Lepisosteus oculatus: one gene and its partners. The protein of the gene in region 4 binds, or shares a complex with, the protein of the main gene of each other region. Links are inferred from orthologs where the notes say so. Each region holds a gene or a part of one and is shown on either strand. Other genes may lie near its edges.

Evidence for each region.
Region 1: cdc45 (region 4) and gins3 share a complex: the UniProt entries of both Homo sapiens proteins name them as parts of the CMG helicase complex. The link is inferred for Lepisosteus oculatus from reciprocal best matches to the Homo sapiens genes CDC45 and GINS3.
Region 2: cdc45 (region 4) and mcm7 share a complex: the UniProt entries of both Homo sapiens proteins name them as parts of the CMG helicase complex. The link is inferred for Lepisosteus oculatus from reciprocal best matches to the Homo sapiens genes CDC45 and MCM7.
Region 3: cdc45 (region 4) and gins2 share a complex: the UniProt entries of both Homo sapiens proteins name them as parts of the CMG helicase complex. The link is inferred for Lepisosteus oculatus from reciprocal best matches to the Homo sapiens genes CDC45 and GINS2.

The regions. Positions count from the first base shown.
Region 1 is NC_090715.1:12,071,763-12,078,980, reverse strand, and holds the start of gins3 (DNA replication complex GINS protein PSF3), read left to right. Parts: upstream 1-4,202; 5' UTR 4,203-4,336; coding exon 4,337-4,507; intron 4,508-5,354; coding exon 5,355-5,588; intron 5,589-7,218. UniProt on the Homo sapiens protein: Required for correct functioning of the GINS complex, a complex that plays an essential role in the initiation of DNA replication, and progression of DNA replication forks.
Region 2 is NC_090698.1:12,412,652-12,420,187, reverse strand, and holds the start of mcm7 (DNA replication licensing factor MCM7), read right to left. Parts: upstream 3,010-7,536; 5' UTR 2,747-3,009; coding exon 2,560-2,746; intron 756-2,559; coding exon 676-755; intron 119-675; coding exon 1-118. UniProt on the Homo sapiens protein: Acts as a component of the MCM2-7 complex (MCM complex) which is the replicative helicase essential for 'once per cell cycle' DNA replication initiation and elongation in eukaryotic cells.
Region 3 is NC_090715.1:16,818,931-16,825,903, reverse strand, and holds the start of gins2 (DNA replication complex GINS protein PSF2), read right to left. Parts: upstream 3,020-6,973; 5' UTR 2,941-3,019; coding exon 2,851-2,940; intron 2,475-2,850; coding exon 2,360-2,474; intron 1,177-2,359; coding exon 1,077-1,176; intron 1-1,076. UniProt on the Homo sapiens protein: Required for correct functioning of the GINS complex, a complex that plays an essential role in the initiation of DNA replication, and progression of DNA replication forks.
Region 4 is NC_090717.1:1,234,196-1,241,871, forward strand, and holds the start of cdc45 (cell division control protein 45 homolog), read right to left. Parts: upstream 3,003-7,676; 5' UTR 2,852-3,002; coding exon 2,801-2,851; intron 2,036-2,800; coding exon 1,976-2,035; intron 744-1,975; coding exon 651-743; intron 1-650. Other genes in the region: ufd1l (ubiquitin recognition factor in ER-associated degradation protein 1), read left to right, coding at 3,456-3,458, 5,086-5,218, 5,699-5,731, 5,895-6,016, 6,625-6,755, 7,421-7,493. UniProt on the Homo sapiens protein: Required for initiation of chromosomal DNA replication. Core component of CDC45-MCM-GINS (CMG) helicase, the molecular machine that unwinds template DNA during replication, and around which the replisome is built.

The DNA of each region.
Region 1 (7,218 bases), on a different chromosome or scaffold from region 4:
GCCACCCAAAAAGCAGGGGGGGAAAAACTCAGAAAAGCAGCAGGATTTTCCCCTTTTTCACAAGTGTTGCTCAGTTCAGCGAACCATGACAACCGCAGCAGTCGGTATCCCTGCTCCCCTGCTACAGCGTGTATCGGTCTCAGATTTATTTTATGCCCCCGCTGTCGGGTCAGTGTGTGCCGCTCCCCTCCGCTCTCATGCTCGCAAGGTCCCCGAGCTTCTCCTTACATTGCTGGTCGGAGACAATAGAAGCGCTCACTGCGCATACGCGGATTAAAAGCGTGGAGATAGAAAAGGCAGACGCTTAACCGTGTCACTGCTGGGCATCCGCTAACAGCCGTCTGCTCTGCGTCTGGTAACGACTTCACAGCTAAGAGTTTTGGCGCGGTGGGGGGAGTCAGGAAGAGGACCGAGGATCCTATTCGCCGCAAGACGTACACAGACGATAGTTTCTGAAAACGGATCTCCAAAATCGTGGAGGGATTTTGGAGTGACGCCAGTATCCAACGCGTCTCGTATTGCGAAATCTTAGTTCTAAAAATAATTGACGAATCATTTATGTGAACCCGAGATCAGGACGCCTTAAACGACCTCATAGTTCTTTCCAAGAATCCATCAAAAACCCTTTGAGGATATATAGTTTATAAACATAATCACTGTTTTTTGTTATTTGAACATACTGCTTTGCCAGGCCTGGGACTGGGAGAGACCTGGTTCAAGGACAATCCTTCAAGGATAACAGGTTCACCCCATGTTTTACTAGGTGCAAAAAAGTGCAAATAGTAATTCAAATGAAAAGCACTGTAACTCTGTAAGGAAATACATATGCTTCACAGTCTTTACCTTTTAATGTTTCCACACAGTAAATATCCAGATTTCACATCTCTTTCTTGTGGGCAGTTTAAAATCATTTTATATGCTTTTTCCAGTCTGTGATTACGCTGTCCAGCAAGTACAAATGTAAAACACAACTGCTGTTACAACTAAAATTGACTTAAGAAAGTGTGTACAAATGTACCTACAGCCTACATTATATGAGAGCAAGCAACCCTGGTACATCCTATCCAGACAATTGCAGGACTTTTAAAATTTCCAATGAATTGTCTACAAATGGATTCCAAATTGTTTAATTATCCCAGGTACTGAAGATCACCTTGATAATTATGGCTTAACCGGAGCACAGGTGGCAAAGGCGACCAGCCTTGGCTATCTGAACAAACCATACCCATGCTTTACCCAGGAGGCAACATCTGTATCCAATTAATATCTCACACGCAAACCCCCTGGTAAACAGCCTGATCCCAGTTCCTCGCATTTTTCAAGTTCTGGAAATAGCCCACCCCCAATTAAACTAGGAATATCGGTCAAGAACACCCCCTGTTCCATGGTAGCCCCTCCTCCTCCCTAGCTTGGGCCTCAGACCACTTCCTCAGTGGACACTTAGTGTGAGTGTCAGGGGTGTGGGAGTATAATCATACTTCTATGGCCCAGCTGTCATTAACACAGTCGCAAATTATCTCCGACTGATCACTTGCTGACCCACTGGCTGCTGTGCTGTATTGTAGTTTTGCTGTGCAGCATCAGCACTGCATCAGGGCTGGGCTGTATCTGTGCTTTATGTTGTCAGTGCTGTTTTTTACCAGTACTGTGCTGTATTGAAGTGATACTGTGCAGTAGCAGTGCTGAATTTTATCAGTGCTGTTTTGTATCAGTGCTGTGTTGGTGCTGGACTTTATTGGTGAGGTGCTGAATCGGTTTTGTGCTTTATCTGTGCTGTGTTTCATTAATGCAGTGATGTATTGGTGTTGTGCTTCACTGCTGTCTTGTATTAGTACTGTTATGTAATGGGGCTATAGAGTACTTCACCAGTATCGTATTGTTTTTCTGTGCTTTTAAGAAATACCACAGCACAGACAAAAAATCAATGGGGAAACAAGAGAGTAGTGTAGGACAAACAACATTATGTAAGGAAGTAACATTGAATTAAAAATACTTACAGCACCACAAAGACCTATTGTATTAACATTAAGAAGATACTTACATCAATATGCAAAAACACTCATGGCTTTCTGCATTAGTTCATTAACTTTGATGTTTTTGAAACTTCAGTAGTCTTTTATATTGTGCATTTCCTTTCTGTTTATTTCTGTACCATTGCAGACCTTGTCAGAAGGGAAACTAGCAACATTGTCACCACTTGAAAGGGTATAAAAGTACCCCATTACCACTTATAAGCAATTGCAATACGTACACCAATCCCTGCAAAACAGAGCCTCACAGTGGACAAACCTGCAACTACAGCTATTAGTTCTTTTATAGACAGATATCATAGGTACTGTGGCTGTAGAGTATGCATGTAATCTGGAGACTGCACAAAACTACATCCAGTGGTATTGTAGCTTTAGATCTAATTTGAACCATAATTCTCTATTTACATTTGTTTGTGTTGTGACAGGCAACAGTGAGGGTCTGATCTGTGTAGCACAAAGTGGATCTATGAATGGCAGACATGTATATAAGAGCTACAAGTTCTAACAGATTTCTGCATACATTCTAGAATAAGGAGGTACTTTGTATTTTTCAAGCTAATGCTTGGCACCTTTCTGCACCACAGCAAGGAAGATCACACGGGACAATACAAAGCCATTGAAGGCCTTTCGTGACAAGATGTGGACAGCTCATGTGGCAGAAACAAACAAGGTTATGTTTCTGTAAAGTGCTGAAACTCAATGAATCATATAGCAATAATGTTTAACAGAAACAGGAGGGGAGGAAGAATTTTGGTCATTTAAATGTGTGATTGTTCTTGTGCAGTTCTGCCATAAAAGCTAGGCCGTGGTCTGTTCCTACTTTACTCATTCAATCATTTTACTGCTGGGCACGTGCAGCTTGTGCAAGGATAAAATGTCCTGCAAGACCGTGCTAAACAGCGGAAATAAATCTACCTAAAAGATGTTTCTCCAGCGTGGTTCCCGGCACCTTAATTGGAAATCTTCAACGTGATTCTAGCCTCTGTCCAGCAATCACAGTGAAGACCCTCTCAGTGTAAAGACATCCATACTTGTACAGGCGCCATTCTTCAGATTGCTGGAATGGCTGTGGCTGTTTATTTATAAATTAGAGAGATTGGGTAGCCTGTACTGAAGGCACTGAAACAGTGAGGTGTAGTGCAGAGCACTTTAACAACAACAGTTCGTCAACAGGGGCGGTCAGGCGCCTTGTGTGTGCTGTTCCGAATTGCTCCGTATTTGTCATAAAAAGGGATGTTAGAGTTACACCACATATTAAACACAGCCTTAAAAGGGGCCTTACAAGGGAATCACTCCATCCTTTCATTTTTTAAGGCAAGTCCACTGCAAGGCACACGCACACTCTCACCAGCTCCAAGTTACCAAGATGCAAATTAATTTACTGGACTGTGGGAGGAGTCTAGGTCAGCCAGAGGAAATCTATGCGAACATAGAGAGAAAATACGAACAGATAGCACCCCCCAGCACCAGAATGTCCTATTTATTGGGGTGCAGAAGAAAGGGTCCTCCCCTTGATCTGAAAGAAAAGGTGCCTGTGTGGTTCCGTGACAAGAGAGGACATGTCCAGCCTCCTGTTGCTGGAGGGTTTATTGTGCCTTGGAGGAAAAAATGAAATAATCTTGACTATTACTGGCCTGGTAGTCACAGAATGTACTGGTCTGAAAGCTTCATCTATTTCCCAGAATGCAATTCAAAGTGCAGAACTCTCTGCGGCCACTTTCCGATATCTTGTATTCTTTCTGAAGTTTTAAGTTTCTTACATGCATCTTAAATGCAATGGAATATCTAAAAAAACGTACACTGGTCGCTGAGTTCAGTTTTTATCGGCTACTTACATAAAACCATAAAAATACAACCATACTATTTGAGTTCAAAGTAAAATAATTGCACTTCTACAAACCTAATATAAGCCGAATCGCTGCCTGGCCAGGGGGCTATGCTACTGACTTCTGGTTGCTGATTATTGTTGTGTTTTTGTTGGAAAATGTATAAGACGAAGGATATTTGGACAATTTGAGATAATTTATAGTATTTCCGGTATATAATAATAACAACAATAACAACTACTTGTATTATTTGCGACATGCGTGCCTCGTCAGCAGTCTGAATTTGTAAACGCCTTCAGTGCTGCACTTTAGGTCGTCTCAGCCATCCGTCGGCCGGCGCGCTCGGAGCTCCACTGCTGCTGTCTGAGGGGGCGGGGATAGCGGCCCATTCAAAGCGCCGCGCCAAAGCAGATCGTCTTGGGGTTTGGGTTTGTTGATAAGTTTGACTTTCCTCACAAGCTGCAAAATAACTGCTTCGGAATGGCGACCCAATCTTATACGCCAGTGCCGCCCGGCGTGGGGATGGAAGATAATTTTCTTTCGCTCGACGACATTCTCCTTTCTCAAGAGAAGCTGCCGTGCCGGACTGAAACCGCCTTCCCCCGGCTGGGCTTCCTGGAGAAGTCCGGCGACACCGGGGACATCCAGGAGGTAAGCGAGAGAACCGCGTTGATCCCACAAAAACCGTTTAAAACAGTATTTAAACCCAAATCTGACCGGTATTGTAGCCATGTGCATTGTTTTAGCGCTCTGTGTTGACATTTCTATGAGGGGGAAGGACAGTGATCGGCCGTGTTTATTGCACATGATTGCCCGAGCTGTTCATGCTGTAAATGCAGTACAGTAAATAGCTGCAAGACATGTTGAATATGTTGATCAGGCGCTGGCACTGAGATACATATGAAATTGTACTAATGACATGATTTAATCCCGCACCTGTAATTTCTTTTTATGTACTCGTACAGTTGACCCTCGATTTAGAGACTCCGAACTTGCAGAATTTAAGCAGGGGGTCGGCCGCGTACATAGACCTCAGTGCCAGTCAGTTACAGGACGATCCTGGCGCTCTGTGTCGGATTGAGTCTTTGAGATGTTAGTAGTCAATATTTTTGACAAGCACGTTTATGTTTTATTATCCTCACCTTAAGGAAGAGTTGAAACATTGTACCAAAATTAAGCGAAATCGAATGAAAAGGTGATAGGAACTATAAACTAGGGAAGATTGTGAAATGAATATTTATTAGTGAGAGTTTTAAAACTTACGACAAGGTGATTTCATATTGATATTCTACTGATTGTTGCTGGGTACTGAAATTGGTTCAGACAGAGATCTTGGGAAGTTTAATTTAATCTTTTTCAAGGCCTTCTTACATACTTGTCCGACCTGTACATTTCCACGCCACAGTCTTGAGGAGAAATGTGGTTTGTGGGGGTTTTCCGAGCTCCTGGCTGTAGAGAGTGTGCAGCGCTAGATCTGTCCGGTGTCTGTCCGGTCCAGGGGACGAAGATGGAGATGCCCCTGTGGCTGGCCAAGGGCCTGTACGACTCCAAGCGCCGGGTGGTGGCGGTGGACCTGCCCAAGGTGTACCGTGAGGGCTGGAGGACCGTGTTCGGCGCAGACCCCAACGTGGTGGACCTGCACAAGATGGGGCCCTACTACTATGGCCTGGGCTCCCAGCTGCTGCACTTCGACAGCCCGGAGAACCCCGACATTGCTCAGACAGTGTTGCAGGTAAGGGGCAGGGATCATGCACACACCCATAACCTTGTGCATCAGTCATGAGAATGTTGCCATGGTGTCTGAAATGCAGTTTTCAACAGTAACTAATGCAGGGAGTATATTTGCATTATTGCATGAGCTATGCACTTCAGTTATTGTTGAAGGTGTGACACTATACTGCCCCAGTTTTAATATCCTTGTTTTTAATGATAAAATTGCATTCTGCAGTATTGCATGTGTTCGTTTGGGTTGTCTGTGGATGTGCATGTTTCCTCCCGTAGTCCAGAGACATGCTGTCTGGGTTAAATGACATCTCTAAAATAGACTGTATGCAGTACTTGTATGTGGCGTGTGATGGACTGGTATCCTGTTCAGGGTGTACTCCTGCCTTGTGCCCTATACGTGCCAGGTTAGGCGTGATCTGCAAGTTTAAAGCAGTTACTGAAAATGAATGGAACTCACGATGATGAATAATTCAGAACAACTCTCAGTGTAAAATGTCCTCTGACTGCTGCCTATTCTGAGTTATTCCCTGTGACCAATTTACATCCGTCGCATGATTGCAGAATAAACAAAATTTGAAATGCTTCCCAGGAAAAGGATATCTAGTCATTTTAAAACAGCTTTGTGGGGAATCTGCAGCCTCGGGATGCCCTACAGGGCAAGACTGCCCTTCAAGGACCTGAAAAGAGGTCCTGTTGGTGTGCCTTTAGAACAGAAGGTGGGAAGCACCTCTGTACACAAAGAGTGGCGGGTGTCTGAAGGAGCCTGGTTACTGGGGGCCACTCCCTGGGGGAGGTTCAATACTTTTGTCAATGATAAAAAAAAATATTTTTATCAGATTTTATTCTAAATGAGGTAAATATCCTAGTGGTCCCGTAGTATTTCAAAGCAGACCAACGACTAAATATCCCCTGAGAAGGTATAAGGGACAGAAAATATTTTAATTCAAATACTTTTCATAAAAATAAATTGAAATGGAGTTGATATAAATCACCCAGCCCTGCCTGGGAGTCTTCAAGATGCAGCCAGGAGAGACCCTTGGACTCGTGATCTCCAGCAGCCAGTCGAACAGGGTGGGCTCTAATGCCTCCTTCGTTTTTAACCTTATTTCTTCGATCCAGCGAAGGCTTGATGATTGAAGTAACCTTCAGCAGCAGGGTTAAAGAAAGACGTTTATATAAGCATCACCTTAACTGCCAGGATGAGAGCTGAATGGGTCGAAGGGAAGAAACTGCATTTGCCTGTACTCTGACCGTGGTCCCCAGGGCCTGCCTGTGGGAGACCAACAGTCTAATAACTGTCAGTTTTGTAATGAATAAAGCTTTACAATTCATTCTTATTGGCTTTGGCTGAGGTTTCCAGCACTTACATAGCAAGTGTCTGTCTGTTTTGGGTAAGAATCTCAATGCTAGGTATGTGTAATAGTTCACTGATATTCTGTGAACAGATTTTACCCCACTCTGTGTCATTTTCTAGAAATTGTACTTCTGTGATGTTAAATGCACTGCATTTGATCACCTGTATATTTCCACTGATTTATATACAGTATATTAGAAGTGCAAGGTATGCCTTCACAATTTTACAGGCTATTTTACTTCACAAGAGCCACCACAAGATGGCGCCACTTCAGTACACTTAC
Region 2 (7,536 bases), on a different chromosome or scaffold from region 4:
ACAGGCCGGCGTAGCGGCGCGTGTTCTCGCACACGCTCTCCACCAGCTCAGGGTCCTCCTCCCCGACATCGTCCAGGTCGATCACCAGGGACACCTGCTCCCTGTGAGCCACCGACACCTGGAGAGGGAGGGAGAAAAGGACAGGGGGCACTGAGGCACGCACAGGCAGGACTGCTCCAAACACACGCCACACAGCAAGCACCGAACATGCTTCCAGATCAAGGGGAAGTAACGCACTGCTGCTTCCTCCATTAGAAAAACTGTTCAACTGCAGTTCAATTGTACTCAACAAGTTCTGCAGATCATATGGGCAAAGGGGAGAGGAGAAAAAAACCCCAGTTGGGGAAAGGAAGCCTCTGGGGGGCCCTGGACTGCCTCCTCCCCAACTCCAGGTAAATAAGATGTGGATCTCACGGCTGTCAAATTTAAACACATTTCTGATGACCAAAGCAGAGCACGTAAAGGTCACAGGAGACAACTCCACTCAGGCAACGCTCCAGTGCAAGTAGGGGGAACCCCAACCTAAGCAGATGGGACACAGGGCTGCCAGTGCAGGTAGGGGGAGCCCCAGACTAAGCAGACAGGACACAGTTCACGCGCTCCAACAGCTAATCCTGATTAGCTGTACAGCATGCCGTGGACGGCCACATCCATCCCCACGCCCCGAGCCCTCACCAGCTGAACGCCGTACTTGAAGACCTTCTTCCCAGCGTCATCCTCAGTGTAGAACTCCTGCAGGAACTTCCTGCACTTCTCTGGAGGAAGACAAGACACAACCTTTAAAATGCATTTAAATGCAATCATGACACTTGTCTGGCAGGACTGAAAACAGAAAGCAGCAGGCGTGGCCTCAGGCCTTGCACGACAGCATCACAACTCAAATTCGAAGTTCACAGTACTTTCTGAAAACCCTGTCTCACCAGAGGCAGGACTTCAGGGCTGGAAAACTAACTGTGGGTTAGAGGCAGGGGCAGATCTGAACTCTTGGGGGCAATTTTGGAAGAGTGTTACCCTGTGTCCCAGCCAAAAGGGATTTTCCAGCACTGCTGCAGAGGTTAAAGAAGCAGACAGAGAGAGTGGGGTCAGTGCGAAGGAGAGACACTGAAGCCACACCACACAGCTGGGGCACACGAACATGTTCTGGCATCACTATACACCCGTGCGGCACAGCTCTGAACGCCTCTATTGGATCAACAGGTCCTCCACAGGGACGCAGAGGACCAGGCCTTGTGAACAGGCCCAGCTCCCCCCGCCGCCAGCGGCCTCTCCTCCAGCAGGGCCCCGGACAGCTTTCTAAGCCTTTAATCTTGAAGACCACTAATCTGGTGTCAGGCGACGGGACCAGCCCACAGCAGGCCAGGCTTCTCCACCCCACACTGCAGACACTCGCTGGCTCCACGCACAGGAGCCCCCCAGAACTGTCCGATCGGGCTGGCAGAGCTCACGTGCCATCGCTTTCTGACATTCCAACCCTGCTGGCTCCAGAGAGGGTCCAGCATTCACAGCTCGAGGACGCCCATGCTAACCACATAGGCCTCCCTAAATCATGACACCATGCTGGGCAGTTGGACAGCCTAGACAGGCAAACTCATCACAGCAGTGCTGCCGAAAGCACAGCTCTCAACTCACAAAACACAACCGCTATCGCACACGACACAGAGTAGCGGCGGCGGCGAAACGCATGCTGACAACGCAACATCGGAAAACCGCGCAGAGGAGCCACAGGGTACACGCGTGGAAGCGGCTCGTGCTGGCGCAGTCGGCCTTGAGTGACAGCCAATCCGCGCACCGCTCCAGCTGTAAACAAAACCAAGAGCACGTGACCTCCCCTCCCCCTCCCCCGTGACACTCCACTCTACAGCGCTACCGCTGCTCCCAGCTCCCACTGAACCGAAATCACGGACCTTCAGTTCACAAACTCAAGAGACTGCTCCTCTGCGCGCCCCGGAAAATGATCCCCTACATGCAGTGGAGTCACACATCTTTTTAATATCACAGACCTGGATTTAAGTTTTCTGCGTGGACAAATTACAATGTCCACTAAAATACAACGCGTTCGCGGCACAAGTGTTTCTGAAAATAAGATCTACATAGGCAGGTTTCCATATGAACAAGTCCACAGAAAAGTTACAAGACTGCCTGTTAACTACTCTAGAGTAGTACAAACTTGAACGGCGCCGTGCATTGAGCAGGCAACATAAACACTAGTTTAAACAGTATTTATTCATAATTAAAATGTCAACAACACAGCCCGCCTGTCAAAAAATGTCGAGTCTCAGATTATCCCCCGGACGAAATAATTCAGCGAAGCCTCGGATACACACCCTCACAATCTTAAAGCTCCACTGCGCGTCTCCAGAAGACCCCCACCATCACTACCAATGGAAATTTACCACGAGAAGCCACCCACGCGCAGCTTTCACCCGTTCATTTCACTTTCGGTTTTAAAACAGCCCAACTAGACTCACAAAGACAATCCCGCAACGGCAGCTTTCAACAGAGCTCGCCCGCGGAACAAAAAAAAACACCCACACGCAGGGACAGCGAGGACCTCCCCACCCGTGTCCGCGCTGATCTCTTTGTTGGAGAGGGAGTCGATGTCCACTAGTAAACAGTGCCGCACATGGCGCCCACGAACTCCAATCCACGGCCGTTCTTCCGTCTTTAAAACTGAGCCTGAACTCGGATCGGGGAGGGAAGAGAGCCCACCAACACCGGGACAAACACACACGCGGACCTCAGACATTGCAGCTTCATCAGGAGCGCGGTCGCCGAACTCGCAAACCACCCCACGGCCGCCGCACGGAGCTCGGCTGCCCGGCACCTCCCTCGCCGCGCTTCCTCCGCCCGCCCAGCCGGCCGGCCGGCCGGGGACAAGGGCGGCCCCGTGGCACCGAGCTCTCGCCGCGACTCGGGGCTCCTTCCCGGCGCTGCTCCCCACGCCGCGCCGCCGTCTCCTCACTCCTGCTTTTGTAAACAAAGAAGCACATGGCTGCTCGGCCTCGCCACCCCCTGCGGGGCTTCCGCGATCCCTCCGCGCGTCAAATAGTGCCCGCTCCCCGTTTCATCCAAGAAAACATCACACCAACCACGACCACCACCCCCGCGTCTCAGGCCTCCCTCGCCTCACCCCGACCCTTCGCGCCACGTAATCCGGGAAAGAAAAATCAAGTTCGCAGGAGAATCACACCCTTACGCGCACGCACACTGCACTACAAACCCCTGCTCCACTCCGGGCGGATGTGGCCGCTCTGCGTGCTGAGCCTTTCACGACAGCGAGCGCGTCATCACCCGCCAAAGAGCCCGACGCGTGACGTCAGAGGCGCAGCTGCTCTCGAGCGTCGCGCGCGCGCGCGCACGCCAGACTCCTGGAGGTGGGGTCGCGTAGCAGGGGTCGCGCGCGCCTGGCGCGGTTCTCCACCAGGAAACAAAAGCAGCGGCCGAGACGCGACCCCGCCGCTGCAGAGAGGCAGCTGGAGCACGACACACCTGCCCACTCCACCCGTCTCCAGAATCTCTCCGCTTCCTAATCGAAAGTCTCGTTCAGGTTGCGTAAGAAACTCGGTTGTTGAAAGGCGGTCTCCAAGACGATAAAGCACAAATCCAAGAGCTCCAATTAACCCTAACTCTAAATTAAATAACTGAGACCCATAACGAATAGACTCAACAAAAGTTTAATTTGATTTCTTTCTGGTTCATTCCTAAACGTAGTAAGTTTCCTAAATGCAGTAAGGCGCCATCCAGCCATTAACAAAGTTAATGCGGTTAAAATCTCCAGCCTCCGAGAAGGAGCCCAGTGTGGGCCGGGGGTCGGGGAAGGAGCTCAGCTGCAGGTTTGGGGGACCCCAGGACCAGGGAGCCCCCAGAGTACAGTCCAGCACATGCGCTGGTGTTAGACTCAGACATTAGACCTGCCTCCAGCACCAGGAATGCTCGCTCTCAAGGCAGGGACATTACAAAGCTCCGAGCTGAAAACTTGGTCTAATCACCTGAAACAACTGGAAGAGGGGTCACAGAGTACCTGTGCTGGGGTCTCCCAGTCTACCCAGCTGCAGCTGCCAGTGAAGCGGAGAGCCGTAGTGAGGAGGCAGCCTTCAGCCTGGGCAGGGCCTGGAGAAGCCTGCCTCCACCCCGTCACCTGTCCCGAACCCCAGCAAGGCGCAGGGCGGCACCCCCCCCCCACCCGCAGATGTACCCGTGTAGATGGTTCGGAAGGTCGATTCGCTCGGTCTCTCAGGTCCGTCAGGCAGGCAAGACGAGTCGAGCCAAGCGGCTGGAGACGGGAGAGGGCTCAGTCGCGCAGAAACCGAAAGCAGGAGAGTGGAAACCGGAGCCGAGTGCGACACAATGAAGTGAAGCGAACAAACTCTCTCAACAAGGAAAACACACGGAGCTCTTGTGTTCGCTGTACGCAGGCTTGGGAAAGAATTCTGCCGTTTAGCTTTTACAAAAACTGGATATAGCAATAGGAGGAACGCATAATGATCGTTTGCAAGGTTCAATAATGTACACAGTTTTCAGCTATTCATGCAAATGTATCCTAGAGTAAAGGAAATGATGCAAAGGAACAAGTAATAGGTTTATTCCATGCCGAAAAAAAGAAGAAAGAGAACAGAACGTTTCGGCCGAAACGTTGTGTTCTCTTTCTTCTTTTTTTCAGCATGGAATAAACCTATTACTTGTTCCTTTGCAGCCTACGCATGCTGACGCAGCTACCCACTGAAAGAAAATGATGTCCTGTTTTATGACTTTCAATAATCCCATACAGCTTCAGCCAACAACCTTGACTTGAGGTGTCCTGAATAAGAATTTAAGAATTGTCATGTAACTTATTTTCTTACTTTTCCATAAACAATGTGCACTTTGGTGAGATGTACATATTGTAAAATAATGTCCTTTTTTATTTAATATCTAATCAACTAAGAGAAGAGATCTGAGGTAATTCAGTATAGTTAAATGTTTTTTTAAATATTTTACTCATGTTTTGCTGCTCTGTACCCAGAAAAGGCTACTGTACTTCACTAACGGACTACAACCTCATTAACTGAACTGTCAATATACATGCCCTCTGGGATTTCTTTTATAAAAACAATCTTTCCATCTGGAAGAAGGGAACTCCCAAGATGACCAATTTCACAATCTCCTGTTCCATTTCGCTTCACATATGATGAAATCTAGATTCAGTAATGATTTCTCAGCTTGTGGTGTTCAGTGGTGCCGTCATTGGGTGTAAATATGTGAAAGGGACTGATCTAGTTTGTGAAAATAATGTTAATGCAAATACATTCAGATGAAATACAAGCTACTTTGTAGTTCATCTGGGTTGGGTAAACATGTACTGAGCTCACTGGACCAGAGAGGGTCCGAGACTACGTGTCCTGAGAAAAAAAAGAGAAAGATCTTATCAACAACAGTGATGTGCAAGAATAAGTGTTGTTATTCTACTACAAATAAAAGTAGGTTAAAAATGCATCAAACCTTTTGTGAAATATTTGGATACTTTTTGGGCACATCTGACTTTAAACACATTTACCCTCAGTTTCTCAGAGCATCAATATTTGTTCTTGAGGTACCCCAGTATGCTACCTCTTCTGATTAAAGGGTCCTCCTAAGTCAGTGGTACCTCCTGCAGGCCTAGGGGTCCAGAGCCCTTCGGGTCTGACAGATCTCTTTAGCTGGGAGATGCTCAATGTTACAATCAAATCAAGAATGAGTTCACACCTGTAGCTGAGAGCCGTTCCGAAATGAGTTTGCAGGCCAGGCCCACAGCTGTCCCCCAGTCTCACACCCCACACCCGAAAACAAGAGTCGCAGCTCTCTGCTCTCTATAGCAGAGTAGCCACAGCAGGCTGAGCAGGGCCCTGCATAGTAATGCAACTGAAACAGTTCAGTCGTCCTGCACAGTTCCTTTGGTCTGAGGCAGGAGTCGAGCAGATCAGCAGTTAAATTACTTTTAAACAACAAGCAGGATCCTTGAAACACAGGATGAGGCCTGTGGCCTGGATGTTGCTGGTTTGAACCCGGGACAGAACACTAGCGGAGCCTGACTGGGTTGGCCCATGATCTGACAGGGGGGCGTTTCCAACAGGTCCTCATTCATTACATTGACATCAGTACTATCAGCTCACACACAGCACAGCCTATGATAGGTGACAGGTCAGAGAGTTCCAAAGCCAGCCCCGTCCTTAAATGCTCCCAATCCCGAAATCTAAATTCCTCCAAGCCTGTCCTGGAAAGCCACTCTGCCAGCAAATCGGCATTGGTGCTGCCTCGCTAGCTCAAGGTCCAGGAGCCAGCGCCACAGAACCTTCTCCCTCACTGGGCACTGACGAGCCAGCGATCAGCAGGCCCTGAGCAGCACCCCAAACGCTGTGACCTTTCACATATGAACTCTGCCCTTTGCCTCCCCGCTGCAACTCTGAACACAGGCATGGCCATACACAAGGGTGACCAGACACCTGCTGCACCCAGACTCCGGGGTTTGCCCCAGCACCAGGTGGAGAAGCTGGTTCCCATTTCTTCACATGGGTGGAATGGCAGTAAAAACAGACATTTTGGCTCATCTGATCCATCATCACCAACTGATTCGGATCAGAAAGCCTCCTGGAACTAGATCTGTGTCTCTGTAGTCTTGCAGCCAGTACTGGAGTCCCCAGCACGAACTGCCTCTGGCATCTCCCCCTGGGATGGTTCAGATGATCTAGTGAAACAGCTCAGATCTCTGTGGGAGCTGGAAGGAAACTGAAGCACCTGGCCAACACTCAAGAACCTAAACAGAACATGCAAAGTCCACACAGACAGGCCCCAACAAACCAGAATCGAACCTGGGACACCGGAGCTGTAATCAGCAAGTTCCTGTGCCACGCCTTCAGCATCTGAAACAGACCGACCAGCTGGGCAAGGAGCTGTGCTGTAGCTATGCTGAAGGCAGGAACTGAAACTTCCTGTTCAAGATGCAAGAGTCTCTGTCTTCCTAGTCTCCGGAATAGGAAGCACAGCTGCCTGGAGCGCACACTGCACAGCCAGCGGCCCATCCTGTACAAAGCCCATCTCTCTGAACGTGCTGTCCCGCCTGGCTTCAGCAGTGCAGGGTACAAGCAGGACGGGACGGGACAGGAAGCCATCACAGGACCTACAGGCGCCCTTTCGAGAACGCTCCGCAAACTGGCGAGAAGGAAACGAAAACGGACACATCGCCCACGACCGGCATCCGTATAACGCGTAGGCCCGGCCGTCGGCACTTCCCGCAACCCAGCGGGCCCGTCCGCTGCGTCCGCCGGGGTTAAAGGTCGCCCCTCCCCCCGCGGCCATGTGCGCCTCGCGCTGAACTCTTTGTCTCCGAGTTCCATCCGGGTCGCAGCCGGGAGCCGCTGCGGAGCCCACGGCCACGACACGGAGTTCGTGCAACAGCTGTTGCTTCACTAACGTCACGTCAAGCACGGTCACCCGAACGCCTCTGGCATTTTCACAGTCCTACAGCTGAACGGGACACAGACACAGCTGCCCAGCCCTGTAGTTTAATGTAAAACACCGAGG
Region 3 (6,973 bases), on a different chromosome or scaffold from region 4:
GGTCAGCATGTGTCCAGAGCTTAAAGGACAGTTACGGGGGCAGACAAATGAAAGCTTGCAGTCTTAAGATGCACGTGTGTTCCTCTTGAAAAACATATCTGAAAATTATATTTCTTTAAACCTTCTGTAATCCCACATGCCACTTCAAATCACAGCAAGGATTCAATAAACTGTTTTTGTTTGTTTCTTATGCAAATCGGTCTTGAACAAAGAAGGTATGAGGGAACCCAACACGAGTATTCAGAATCATCAAAGGCCCGGACACACTCGGCCCAGTGGACTTCTCCAGCACAAAGAGCGAAACAAACCAGAGGCCACAGGTGCAAGATGCAGGGAAGTGCATTTAGAGGAGGAGCATCTTTACCCAAAGGATAGCGTGAGCCTGGAGCAGGCTAGCCAGCCATATGGTTGAAGATCTCCTGGCTTTTTTGAAGAAAGGGCTGGATGAGATCCTCAGATCAATCAATTACAAACTAACAAGAAGGTTAGATGGGTTGAATAATCTCCTCTCCTCTGCAACAGTTCTAATGTTCTTCACTGGGACACAAAACTCACCTTTCGCGAGCATGAGGCCAAAGTTATAGGGTGGTGGCAAAAGTAGAAACTGAATGTCCTTGGTCGACCCCACCAAAATCCTGACTTGAGTCTGACTGAAAACTTGAAGACTTGCGGTCATTCAGCCAAGCAGCTCAACCGAGGCCAAGCACATTTCCAGGGAAGAACAGCAAACACTGCAGCAGCCCAGTGTGCACAGCTGGCAGAGACTCACAGCATTCACCGAGCATCGGGACAGAGGGGGTGAGTATTCGTGAAGTCAACAGATTGTAGTCTCCAATTTTCATGGCAGTTTCTGCTGATATTTAGCTTTCATTACCCAAAATATTACGTGTATTCAAATTGTGGTGAAAAACATTCGGTTTAAAATAAACGTACATACATACTACATCAGAAAGGAATGAATACTTGAGCTTGGCACTGCATGTTGCTCAAGCAAAGAGGAAAAGCTATTTCTTTAAAGCTTCATGACCGAGTAGGAAGGGTCTTGTGTCACAGGTCGAGAGTGCAGCGATACTCACTGGTTCAACAGTAACTTGGTCAGCTCCATGTAGTATGGACTGGGCATAGGGGTGAACATCCCTACTTTCCTCTCCTGCTCCCTGATCTCTTCCAGCTTCTCTGCAGTAGAGACAAGGGCTGACACTGAACACGCTCTCTCACAGCTAACCCCCCAAACAAGGCAGACAGCATGACCAGCTGCACCATCACAGATTCATTCCAAAGCTGAACGCCACGTTAGGTTTTATGGGACACAGGCATTAGGAGCAAATTTACATCTCAAAAAAGACATAAAGCTGCATTTACACATTAATGTCTTTCAATTGAATGTGGTTTTAAAATCCCATTCTATCTCAAACTGTTCTGGTAAACACAGAGTTATAAAGTCTCCCTATTAAACTGATTAAAACAAGCAATACAGAGTTGTCCGTTGCTGAGACTAGAGATACACAATCCTCATTATTACCAATCTGTCAGAGGCAATTGTTAATTTAATTTAGACAATATCTGGACACAAGATGGATGGACTATTCAGATTTCAAATACCAGAGATCTCTTTATTATGCCAGAAGCTATATCACCCAGCAATTCACAACTGACAACCAGCTCAGCAGGGGTGAGCCTGGCCAGTACCTGGATGGGAGACTCCTGGGAAAGCTGAGGTTGCTGCTGGAAGAGGCGTTAGAGGGGCCAGTAGGGGGCGCTCACGCTGTGGTCTGTGTGGGTCCTAATGCCACAGTATAGCGACAGATGGACACTAAACTGTAAAAAGGTGCCATCCTTCAGATGAGACGTAAAACTAAGGTACAAACTCTCTGTGATTAAAAAATCCCAGTTTCTCAAAAAAGAATAGGGGTGTTACCCTGGTGTCCTGGTCAAACTTCCCCCTGGCCTTTACCAGTCATGGCCTCCTAATAACCCCCCTCTCTGAACTGGCTCCATCACTCTGCTCTCCTCCCCTCTGAGAGCTGGTGTGTGGGGAGAGTACTGGAGCACTCCGGCTGCCGTCACATCCAGCACACTGGGCTGCACACCAGTGGTGGTGGAGAAGACTATTTACCTCTAAAGCGCTTTGAGTGGAGTATCCAGAAAAGCTATAAATTGTAGGTCTAAGGAATTATTAACTGAGAATCGACTAAACACGTTAATAATAACAGATGAACTACAAGGGAAAGACATTAAGTAATAAGTGGACAGAGCAAATTAACTGCAATGCATTCTAAAGGCTAACATGTAAAGGAAACAAATACATCCAGTGGCATCTATCCATCTTTTCATAACCGGACAAATTAGCTGTTCTCACCAACATCCATCCAGTCGGGGGGCACGATTCTACACTTCTGTCTCTGCTTCAGGTTGATAGCCAGCCAGACAGGCACATCCACGGGCAGACCGGGGTTGAAAGGACCCAAGTCCCCCTACCAGGACAATAAGAACTATTGACGCTTAAAATCAAAACAATTTTACATGTCAAAATTGACAGAGCTGTGATTCGACCGTCCCAAATTCGCATTTTGATTTAAATTCACTCGCTTCAGCCCGGTTTAAAATCGCGTTCTACAAACATACGGGTTTCTTTAATCTCGATTGATTTAAAGAAGGAATCATTACATTAACTGTAGCTATTTCACGTAGTTTGTGTCTATCATTATTATTACTGTAAGCAAAAAGAATACGTAAAGAGATGTTCTGTCATTTGCTTGTCAAATGTGTATCTAACCGGACGGATACTCTACACCACAATACAGATGCATTCTTAACTACACTGCTACGCCCTTTCATTTATGTACTTACCCCAATCAAATAGACTTTGTCTAGACTGAAATTCGGAATTATGGTCACCATCTCCTTTTCAGCTAAGAACTCTACCTCTGAAGGATCCATCCGCAAGTCAGACTTTTAAATTATATTTCACCAGCTACCACAGTCTACCGACAAGTTTCCCGCGCTGAATTCTGACGATGACGCTGTGACCCGGAAGTGAAGGTTTTTACTGTCGGCAGTCACGGGGGAACCGGAAGTCCGGCTCCTGTTGTAGCAGCCCTTCGATTTCGATTATTACCCGTGGAAACTCTTAGCTATTCAAACTTATATTATGTTAATTATAGGTTACTGTGAAGTTAATCATATTTTTTTAATTATTCAGACTTACGTTTTTATCATTAATAGTCACTATTAACATAATTGTATGTTTATAACTTTTATGTTATTGAGTTTTTCAGCATCTTAGTACGTTTAATAAATATTTGTTCATCTCCGAAACAAAGTTTTGCGTCGCGTTGAAAATTATTTGAAAACCTACCTGTTATACAGCGATAATGGTGAAAACCCTTTAATCTACTCAAGTGGTAGCCTGGGCATTTCTCCTAATTGTGCCCGTCACGTCTGTAGCTTAGAGAATTGTCCAGAAAAAAAAGATGCTAACTGGCCTAATGTTAAGATAAAGAAAATCGGGAACGTTATAGTAGAACGCGGTTGCTTTTTTAGACATATTTGCCTTTTGTGCTTCATTTACAAACAGGATAAATAACCCCAGACACTACATCATCCCAGCTCAAATTATCATGTCTCACCAGCAGGACAAATCATAACATATTCCCATTTTACAAGAAATCTCTTGTTAAAGGTGCACCGATGACTGTGCCTTGTCACGCTGGAAAGTTGTCAGGGTGACCTATAGCAAGGGACCCAAATTATGTTCCCAGGCTTGATCAGTGTAGAGCTGTGTAGTAAGACTTCCATCTCTCGCTTCAAGAGTTCTGTAGCAGCTAAAGGAGAGCTACCAGCTCCTTAAATGCTAATTAACCAGTTATTTAAAAAAGGAGCTGCTTGTAGCAATATTTTGGAAAGGACATTTTTGTTATAAATGATCTCTGTATTATTTAATTGAACACCACCTTTTTAATTGATCATAATTAACTTTTTCCAGGCCTTTAGAAATGGATTAATTAAATACTACTGATAAAGCCTGCTGGAATGTGGCTCTCTGGCTCTCCAGACCAATGGTTAGGGATTTCTGGCTAGATCATCAGACTTGGACTGCCCTATCAATACTAACAAGGCTTCCTGGCTCAGTGTCTTGGCCTGCATTTGACAGGCTGTTTGGCTGTATTGTCTTGTCAGACTAGAAGTTACTGGATGGTAAGCAACAGTTCACTTATTCCAGTCTTTTTTATTATTATTATTATTATTAAGGTTTTGTTCTCTTAATGTGTGGAGTATATTAGTAACTTTCTGTGACTTTCTTAATTACTTCATTACCTGTACCTAATTGGTTCACCTCACTGATAAGGTGATTTAGTGTAACTTGGTCAAAAGTACAGTGAATTAATCATCCATCCATCCATCTTCTAACCACCTTCTTCCAATACAGGGTCGCGGTGGAGCTGGAGCCGGTCCCAGCAAGCAATGGGCATGAGGCAGGGCACACCCTGGCAGACAGACACGCACTCACAGCAGGACCGGTGTTCCCAGGAGTCAGCTGATCTACCAGCATGTCTGGGAAAGGCATGCGAGGATGGGGGAACATACAGCTCCATGCACAGAGCACCCAGTCCCACACAGTGAGGCAGCAATGCTCCCCACTGCACTACTGTGCTGCCCACCTGGTCAAACTCAATGATGCAGAAAGCTTTTCATCTTTCTCTAAAATCCATACACTTTATTTTTCTAAAAATATACATGCATAAATAGTATATTAAAGCCAAGCGCTTTTTTGATGCTCAATGATTTTTAACATTTTAGGATTAAAAATATGCATCTTGCTTTAATTAGTAGTCTGTAATTACAGCACCTCAACAAATTACAAGGTATATCATATAAAGAAAAAATTAAAAATAACCTAGATTTTAAAAACATTTTATTAGTTCTAATTTACATTTTAAGATGACTGTGGTCTAAAACCTGATCTGGAAGATAAAACGATTGGACTTTATCAGATTTATACAGCAATTGGGAATTAAAATACCAGACTACAATACATGGGATTAACTCTGAGGTTATGAAATGCATATAAATTATAACACACAAAACTTAAACATTTTCTAAATTATTTTTAGCAAACCAATGGCTCCCAGACCATTTGAATATTGAATTGAATAACACTAAGGTTTTCAAACACAAGACTAAATATTTTATAAGGCTTCAACAACTTCAAACAGTTCAAAATCAACATCTTGTTGAGTTTTTCAGGGTCCAGAATGAATATGAATCCTATAAGATAAAAATCCTGAGCATTTCCATGCCTATTACATTTAAATGACTTTGGCAGACATACTGTACCACAAATTAGTAGACTGTCCTCATCTGCAGCTATTAGTCCAAGAAATCTGTTTTTTTTTTCATGCTGGTTATGATAACTATTGATACATACCCATACTATTTAAGGATCTTAGGAAATATTGCATTTTGAAGAGAATTGTGCATATTGTGAATTATCACTCTGGATAATAATGTTTCTTGTAGACATTCACATCAATGTGATAACATGGCTGTTCACATGTTGAGCTAAAAGCTCAGATTAAAACAAAACTTTGAACCAGCCTGCCAACTGCAAATTACACAGTTCATGATGCCAGCATTTGATTGGGGACAGGTGTGAAGTATCTGGCCAATAACTAGTTAACCGTTAAGTAGATAATGTTCACTGGCAAAACTGAAGTGATGACCTATGATGAGATGGAAGAGATGGCTTTTACAGTTTAGAGTAAATGGAGACTATCATTACTGGTAGTAAATTCCACACTTCTGTAGTTAATTTCCTTAATTACTCATTTTTCTTGTGTGTCCACAGTGATGGCCATGGACAATGCTGTCCTGTCAGGCCCCCTGTCTGAAGGCCGTTACCACAGAAAACATCCCCCATTCATTTCGCTCCACCTTTTCCTCAGCGCTGCATTCCCAAAGCCACCTCCGGAGCACACAGAATGGGAGAAGCTCCAGGAAGGTCAATAAAGAATTCTTCTAGCACAACAAAAATGTATCTAACTGTGGTGTTTTAAAATTAGCATTTAACTTGAAAGAAAAAAACAGGTTAAACAATTTCCTAAATTTAGACGAATCTGTGGTGCCAATTGCTGCAGCTACGTAATTCAGGTGAAACAGTTATGATGCTTAGGACTATAAAAATGACTGATTTTTTTAAAGAATTTGTATCAATTAAGTCTTCTAAGATAATGAAATGATGCACCAAAGATTCCACTCACGTTTCCTGGTTCTCAGTAGAAAGATCTATTTCCCTGTGGTCATGTGCTAGTCTAATAGACTAAAAAGTCAGGTCAATCTTTATATTCAAAGGAAATGGTCAAAAGCAGCATTTACATAAGTCAAAAATGACTACTTTAGTTTTCTGTATAGTCTGGTTAAAAGGTTAAAAAATGCAATGACAATTTTGATTCGGAAATACAATTTTAAACATCATACATGATGGAATTCTAACAACAAATGCTATTCCTAAACCTGGACAGGAAGCACTCAAGAATAGTTCTAGGAACAACATGACTTATACACACTAGGAAATCTAATTTACAGGCAAGGCTATCAAATAAAAAAAAATTAATTGTAAATTGTAATTTCAGGAATACAATTAGTCTACCTCTTGTCTTAATCATCTGAATCTGCACATTACCGGAATAACCATTTTTAATTAATTAATCCCTTCAATATAGTCTTTTAACTATTAATTACTAATGCCACTGCAGTACAGCAGTAGTGTTGCACCCGAACAGCAGTACATCACAAGTTTACACAGAAACAGCCATGAGAAACTACGACTCACCACGCCCGTGATTCCACATACACAGCTGTCTGAAGGATACCTGTTATTTCAATAGAAACCTGATTACTTTCCATCACATTAAAACTGAAGATGTGATACCGGGTACCCCTGCTTCTGGCCTCTTCTAAACACTCATTGTTT
Region 4 (7,676 bases):
GAGGCAACACAAAGACGAGGCTTGAGCACCCCAGGGGAAAAACTCAAGACATCAAAGCCCATGCGTTTGGGCAAGGAACGGGCTCCTATCAGGATTCAGGATCTGTGCTACCAGTAAAATTCTGACTTTTTAAAACACATTAATGAATGTTATTGATAAAAAGTAATGTACTGTAGGAGTTTTATGTATTTTTGGGCTAATGCTTTTATCTAACGTTTTTCAGACCTCAGCTCACAGCTATGAATCCTGCGACCACACACGGGGGAGAATAAGGAAGTCAAGGCAGACTCCTCCCACTTCCCCACCTTTGAGACAGATGGGATTAAACACAGTACGCATCCCTCATTGACAGAAAGGGGCACTGTTTTACAGACAGGGTGACTAATCCCACTCAACTGTATGTGCTACTTGAGGAATCGGCTGGCGACGTGACCCACATTCGAACCCAGGATCGCAGTAGCCTGTTAGTTTTATTACAGTTTATAGACAGGTTTCCTCCCATTCATCCCTTACAAATGTCAACTTCTGGTGCAAAACATCCAGGAACAGCTACCACCAGAGAGATCCTCAACATCCCGCTTTTTAAAATAGGAGAACACAGTAAATACCACCCTGTCCTCACAAACTCAGCATTATGCCACGATCCTGACCTGCTCCTTGTGCTCCAGAAAGGCTGTCTCCAGGTCCTGCCAGCCCCTGACTGGCACCAGCGTGTACTGAACATGGTCACAGTGGAACAGAGCCTGAAAGGAAAAACAGCACGCAGGTCATTTTCTCTTTAAAGACCTCGTGACTGGGAGGTTCCCCACTCAGGTCCCGTGTCTCAGCCACACAGTTGCTACAGTCTCCCCCCGAGCAGGGCACCGAATCGCCCTGTGCTCTGTCCTCCGGACATGGCCTCGTCTGGAGATCCCGTCTTCAGCGATGGCAGCCTGGACGGGAGGCGGCCGACTCCTGACCTGACAGCGTCCGCTGAGCAACACGGAAACATCCTCAGTGTGGAAACAACTGGACTTTTGGAGAAAATAGTGCAGGATACCAGCTGCCCAATAACGGCATCAAAAGCCAAAGTCAGTGACCGTGCAGGCTGAACAAAGTCTGACTGACCAGGGAACTAAATTTACCTCCCAACTGATGAAACACCTCCATCGGCAGTTAGGGATTACGTCGATAAAGACCCGTCCTTATCATTCACACACAGACTGACGGGTTGAAAGTTCGTGTCAGATGCTGGAAAGGATTGGGGGAGATGGACTGGGACTCTTTCTTCTATTTGCATTTCGAGAAGATCCGCAAGGCAACAGTGACAGATCACAGATCCTACAGCGGGCGATCTGCTGGCTCAGGAGTTAGCCTGGGAGCCTGAGATTGAACGGTGGTGACATGGCATTATTTGTCCAAAACCTGTAACTCACGCCCAGCGCGGTTCGCTTTGTGTCCAAGGAGACTCTTGGGTTTCCAGCTGTCCTGGCCCGTTATCAACAGTTAATGGCTCACTCTGTGAGGACTAGCACATCCCTGTGCACGCTTGCGTGATAACAACTGACCTACGGCCTCCGTGCTTCTCAAGTGAAAGAGATCAGACTTGCAAAGTTCAGTGTTACAGTACCCAATTACTGCGCCACACTGCTTTAATAAAGATGAGCTAAATTGATACTCTTGGATCTCGCCTTTCTTTCCCTGGGCTTTGAATCCGATTTCGCACAGGTGCACTCAGAACGCATTATTAGAGCATGGACTGCCAGATCTCTAGATCATAGATCTCCAGAGCCATAACTGGACATCCTTGATCTGGGATGTCAGCAGGAAAAGCAGTAGCCAGTATGCAGCAACTTTTATATAAAGCACGTTTCCTGACGAAGGACTCTTTCTCCCCTATATGGTTCTCAAACAGGCTCTAAAGAGGATAACGTCTACAAAAACACCTTGTAGAGGACACTTCTCAGAGAACGCTCCTGCACTCTTAAATACGCACCTGCAGTATTTTACAGGCGCACAGCGCGTCAATGTCCGAGGAGACCAGGAGAGCGACCCTCTGGAGAAACAGGGAGGGAGAGGATCACGGGTGGGGGGAAAAACAGAGAAAAAATATTAAATCTGTGGCCGAGCTGAGCTGAGGATGCGGCTTTCTTCGGGCCGGCCTGGTGTGGGCCCCGAATAAAGAACCTAGACCTCCTATTCTTCACTATATTGAGGAAATACAAGGCTACACCTGTCATTAAGTTTCTATGCACTGTATATAATGGAAGAATAATGCTCTGTAGCAAGTCAGCTTGATGACGGATTGACTTTGCCAACGTCGACCTGATCATGGGCCAGGCACTGATCTAACACAGAAGACAAAACACTTGAAAAAGGAAAAACAACAATAAAATATAAAGACAATTACAGAACACATCTTCGCATGAAGCGACGATATTTTATTAACACCTACAGATGTCATATGTAAACACTCACACGGAACACGAAGGTAAATAACACCAAACACCTTCCTTCTATTAAAATAGAAAAATAAATCGCCCTCTCGGTCGCCTGTTTAAACTGCCGCCCTAAAAAGATAGTGCAACATTGTTTTTCTTTGGGCGAGTTATGACAACCCCTGAAAAAACAGGCAAACTAAGTATCCAACGTCTGCTAAAACACCCAAGTATAAATATGGAACTCCTGAAGACCATTAACTGGCACTAATACCCTTAATACCTCTCGAATTCGTTACAATACACCGCGTTAAAACGAAACCCTCACGTTTAATAGTCTCTCTTCGATAATTGAGCACTACGACACAAAGGGATCTTTTTACCTGATTCACAACAACATCGTAGAACTCCTTCCGAATATCAGACACGAACATTTCCAAACCCCTTTCTATCGACGACTAGGAATAAAAAAAAATAAAAATGACCTTTTAAATAAATTAAAAAATAACTCGTACAAACGTATAAATTGATTTAAAATACACCAACTCCTTCAGAGATACAGAATCTTCCGTTCCTTGTTAAAAACCTGGCGCCAAATCAGTTTGATGGACTCCTGTTTCCTATTGGCTTGTAACAGATCGATCTAGCCAATCAGAGTTAAGATCCTTCAGCTACTCGTCGCTGATAGGTTATTGGAACAAGCCAATGGTTCGCCACCACAGGTAGACGATGCGCCATAGAATTTTACGCGGATTGGTGTGACGTCACGTCAAAACAAAACTTTAGACCAATCACTTACGTAGAGGCGGTGTACTGTTAAATGATTGGTTATTGACTTTGGAAACGACGTGGGGATTGGTTGTTGTTTCTCCTCGGGTCACTTCCCTTGGCGACTATTTACTTCCCGGTTACGGAACAAACTCCTCTTAATAATCTTCTGCTATTAGGAGATGGTCGATTGTAGGTTCACTTTATTCTTCTTTGGTTGAAACCATTTGTTTTCATTAAACATCGTACCCTAAAGAGTAAGAGTTCATCATGGTAAGTACAGAAGGATTGGTGGTTTTGTGTTTAATACGTCGCATATTGAACTACAGCGCCAGAGCTGTACAGAAAGAAAGATGCACCGTCACTGTTACAAGTTCCCGAGATGTGGACAGATTTGTTAATAAACCAGGCGTCGTGATGACAGCAGACGTCTGAAGACGAGTTTATTTTCTCAAGTTCACATAAAGATGTAAACACTGGAAAGACCACTCTTCTTCGAGCGACGTTCCGCCCTGTGCGTTGTGGCGTAGGTGTAAATATCAAGATAGGTGTCATCCTCTCTGTCTGCACGTAAATGAGAACAGCAGTGTTTGGGTTGCACCCGCGGCGGAATGGAATAAAGGTTTTTGGAGACCCTGAGCAGCAACAGAAAGTTGACATCAATCTGCCAGGGACTGACTTCGTGCTTTTGACGACCAAAAAAATAGGTCGGGAGGGCTGCTCGGGCCTGCGGGGAGATACCACCCCAAGAGCGGTTATAAACGGGGGCAAAACTCTGGTGCCCTTTTACCTGATGGTGGGGAGAAGCAGAGGCAAATCGAGTGCTCCTGCCCCAGTTGTAGAGCCCGGAGTTTCAGTCAACAGAGCCTGATTACTGATCAAGCCAGTTATGAACTCAGTCAAGAAACCTGGTTTCTAGACTGAAAACCAGACGTCTGGGTAGATCTCCAGAGCCATAACTGGACATCCTTGATCTGGGATGTCAGCAGGAAAAGCAGTAGCCAGTATGCTGCTCCTTTTATATAAATCACATTTCCTGACGAAGGACCTGACATTCTCCCACATGGTCCAGGTCTGAAAGTTGTGCTTTTTGTGCGAGAGCAGAACAACACCAGGGTGCCTGTATTTGTAATGGCAATAGGCTGTAAAATGGCCTGCAGCTATATCACTCTGCAACTCACAACAGGTTGCTGCTGGAAGAGGTGTTAGTGGGGCCAGCAGGGGGCGCTCACCCTGCGGTCCATGTGGGTCCTAATGCCCCAGTATAGTGACGGGGACACTATACTGTTAACAGGCGCTCTCCTTCGGATGAGACGTAAAACCGAGGTCCTGACTCTCTGTGGTCATTAAAAATCCCAGGGTGTTTCTCGAAAAGAGTAGGGGTGTAATCCTGGCATCCTGGCCAAATTTCCCATTGGCCCCTACCAGTCATGGCCTCCTAATAATCCCCATCTCTGAATTGGCTTCATTACTCTGCTCTGCTCCCCACTGAGTGCTGATGTGTGGGGAGCGGACTGGTGCATCATCCAGGTGGGGCTGCACACTGGTGGTGGTGGAGGGGATCCCCGTTACCTGTAAAGACCTTTGAGTGGAGTGTCCAGAAAAGCGCTATATAAGTGTAAGCAGTTATTATTATTATTATTATTATTATTATTATTATTATTATTATTATAATAAAAGACAGGAGCTCCAATGACAGTCCAGGTCTCTGCGAAAATATTTTAGATCTGAATGGAATCTCTGAAAGTAGTATTTGGAGCTGAAGTTGATTTCAGATTGGTCAGAGAAGTGTGAGTGGAACCACGCTGTATACCTGTACAACCAGCTGTCTCCACACCTATTGAGATGAAACCTTCGTTGTTGTTTTCTGGGGGCTGATCGTTCTGTCCTCTCATTTCAGTTTTCCTTCAATATGTTTGACCACCCGATTCCACGGGCCTTCCAGAACCGGTTCTCCACACAGTACCGCTGCTACTCCGTCTCCATGCTGGCCGGGCCCAACGACCGCTCCGACGTCGAGAAAGGAGGGAAAAGTAAGAGCAGGGGAGGCTTTGCTGGGTCTCCTGAGATGTCGCCCGGTCCTCAGCGTGGGGTCTGGGCAGCTGGCTTGATGCCACCCATTTAGAACGCCAATAGGGTGAAAAGCTCAGTTTCTGACAGGCTTGCTGAGCAGCTGTACTGCACTGTAACATCTTGCCACAGAACATAGCATAATATAAATGTGATACAGTATATGACATTATGTCATAAGTTCAGGTAGGGAGCTGCAGCAGGATGCTTAGGCTGCAAAGGAACAGGTAAAGGTTTATTCCCTGCTGCAAAAAGAACGTTTTGCCTGTGGAGCCTTCTTCTTCCTCAGCTGAAGAAGGCTCCACAGCCAAAACTTTGTCTCACTTTTTTCTTTTCAGCGAGGAAAAAAACGTTTACCTGTTCCTTATTATGTCATAATGTAGCATAGTAAAAGAAATGTATTTCAGCAATGCTAAGCTTTTGTTGTTCTTTTTTTGTTCTAGTTATAATGCCTCCATCTGCGCTGGACCAGCTCAGTAAGTACGCCAGTGACAAAATATGTAATATATAAAAATATGTTCTGTGTTTGCCATGTGCGTCTGTGTTGGTAATGAAGAACTAGCAGTTTCGTCTGGAAAACAGATCCGTAAGAGCCTTGCTTTGTCGGGCACGCACAGTTTAACTCGAGTCTTCCTTCAGGTCGTCTCAACATCACCTATCCAATGCTGTTCAAGCTGACTAATAAGAACTCGGACCGCATGACGCACTGCGGAGTGCTGGAGTTTGTCGCGGACGAAGGAATCTGTTACTTGCCTCACTGGGTGAGTGTCCCCTTCTTAAAATGTTTTAATAAAATATGTAACTTTGCTTTGGTAAAGCTATTTCTGTTTGGTAAAGCTGAAAAAATATATTCCGCTTTAAAATCATCTGTATTAAATAGTATTGTTAATAGCTTTTATTGTGTGAATTGAAAGTCTTTTTATGTCATGTGACATAACAAACAATGTGAGAGACATGTTTGCATGAGCTATTGCTGAGGGTTCTTTTCTGAAAGAGCTGGTGGAGATCCTCAGATCAGTCAGTGATGAAATCTAGAGGCTGGATCAGCTCCACTGCTTTTTCTTATTTGTAACCTTTCTCATGTTTTTACTCGGGTATTGAAAGTAAAAAACTGTAGGTGAACGTTTATAAAATGTCTGTTAAAGTAAAAGGGGTTGGTTTTATTGTCGATCTGGCAATTGGAGTAAAAGAGCATACACTTGCATACTTTTATTTATAAAGCCCCGAGAACTGCTTCATGTTGCATGGTTACAGTGAACATTGATTGTGCCCAGGCAGTAAGAGCTGGGTGATTGATTCAATGAAAGCTGCTGACTTGGTTGCCTTTCCTGCCCTCACTTATTTGTCTGCTTGGCCTGTTTTCCTTCAGATGATGCAGAATCTTTTGCTGGAGGAAGGAGGTCTGGTCCAGGTGGAGAGTGTGAATCTCATGGTCGCAACGTACTCAAAGTTCCAACCCCAGAGCCCAGACTTCCTCGACATCACCAACCCCAAAGCAGTGTATCCTTCCAGTTTCAGACATGGGTTCAAGTACCACTAAGGCCTGGAGAAAGATCCTACTTAAAATGACAACGCTTTCCACAGGAGTAATTCCACAGAATATTCCTACAGAGCAAATACCTTTGGATAAGATGACAGGCAATTCATTCCTTGGGCGGAGCGGTGGCACTCTGGCTAAGGATCTGCGCCTGTGGCTGGGAGGTTGCCGGTTCAAATCCCGCAACCGGGAGAGGAATCCTACTCCATTGAGCTGTATAAATGGCTGACCCTGCGCTCTGACCCCCAGCTTCTCCCTCCCTGTCAAAGTGTCTCATGGAAAGTAAGCTGGGGTCTGCAAAAAGACAAATTCCTGATACAAGAAATTGTATATGGCCAAATGAAGTGATCTGTTCTTATTCAGACAACATTGCTGTAATTATTCCTGTGGACAGCTATGGACTCGGCTTTTGAATCGTGGAGCAGTTCTAGACTTCCTGAACCTTCAAGAATTGGCAGTTTGGGATAAGATCTCTTCCCAGAGAGATCTCACACCCGAAGAAGGCTCCACGGCCGAAACGTTGTGTTTTCTTTCTTCTCTTTTCAGCAGGGAATAAACCTATTGCTTGTTCCTCTTAAGTTATTTTTCCGCCATTCATGTTTCCTTCACGACACTTCCACTTCTATAGGTTAGAAAATGCCCTGAGGAACTTCGCTTGCCTCACGACTGGTGATGTCATTGCAATCAACTACAATGAAAAGGTAAAGAATTTGTTTTTTTCTTATCAGACCTGAGGGTATTGCAGTGAAGTGCATTCCATAAAATGAGATCTTTGAGCGAGGAGTTTCCCAGCAACCAGATGGGCAAGATAGGTTGAATGACCTCTTCTTATTTAAGATAAGATCACTTTATTAGCCCTATACAATTTCTTGCATTAGGAATTT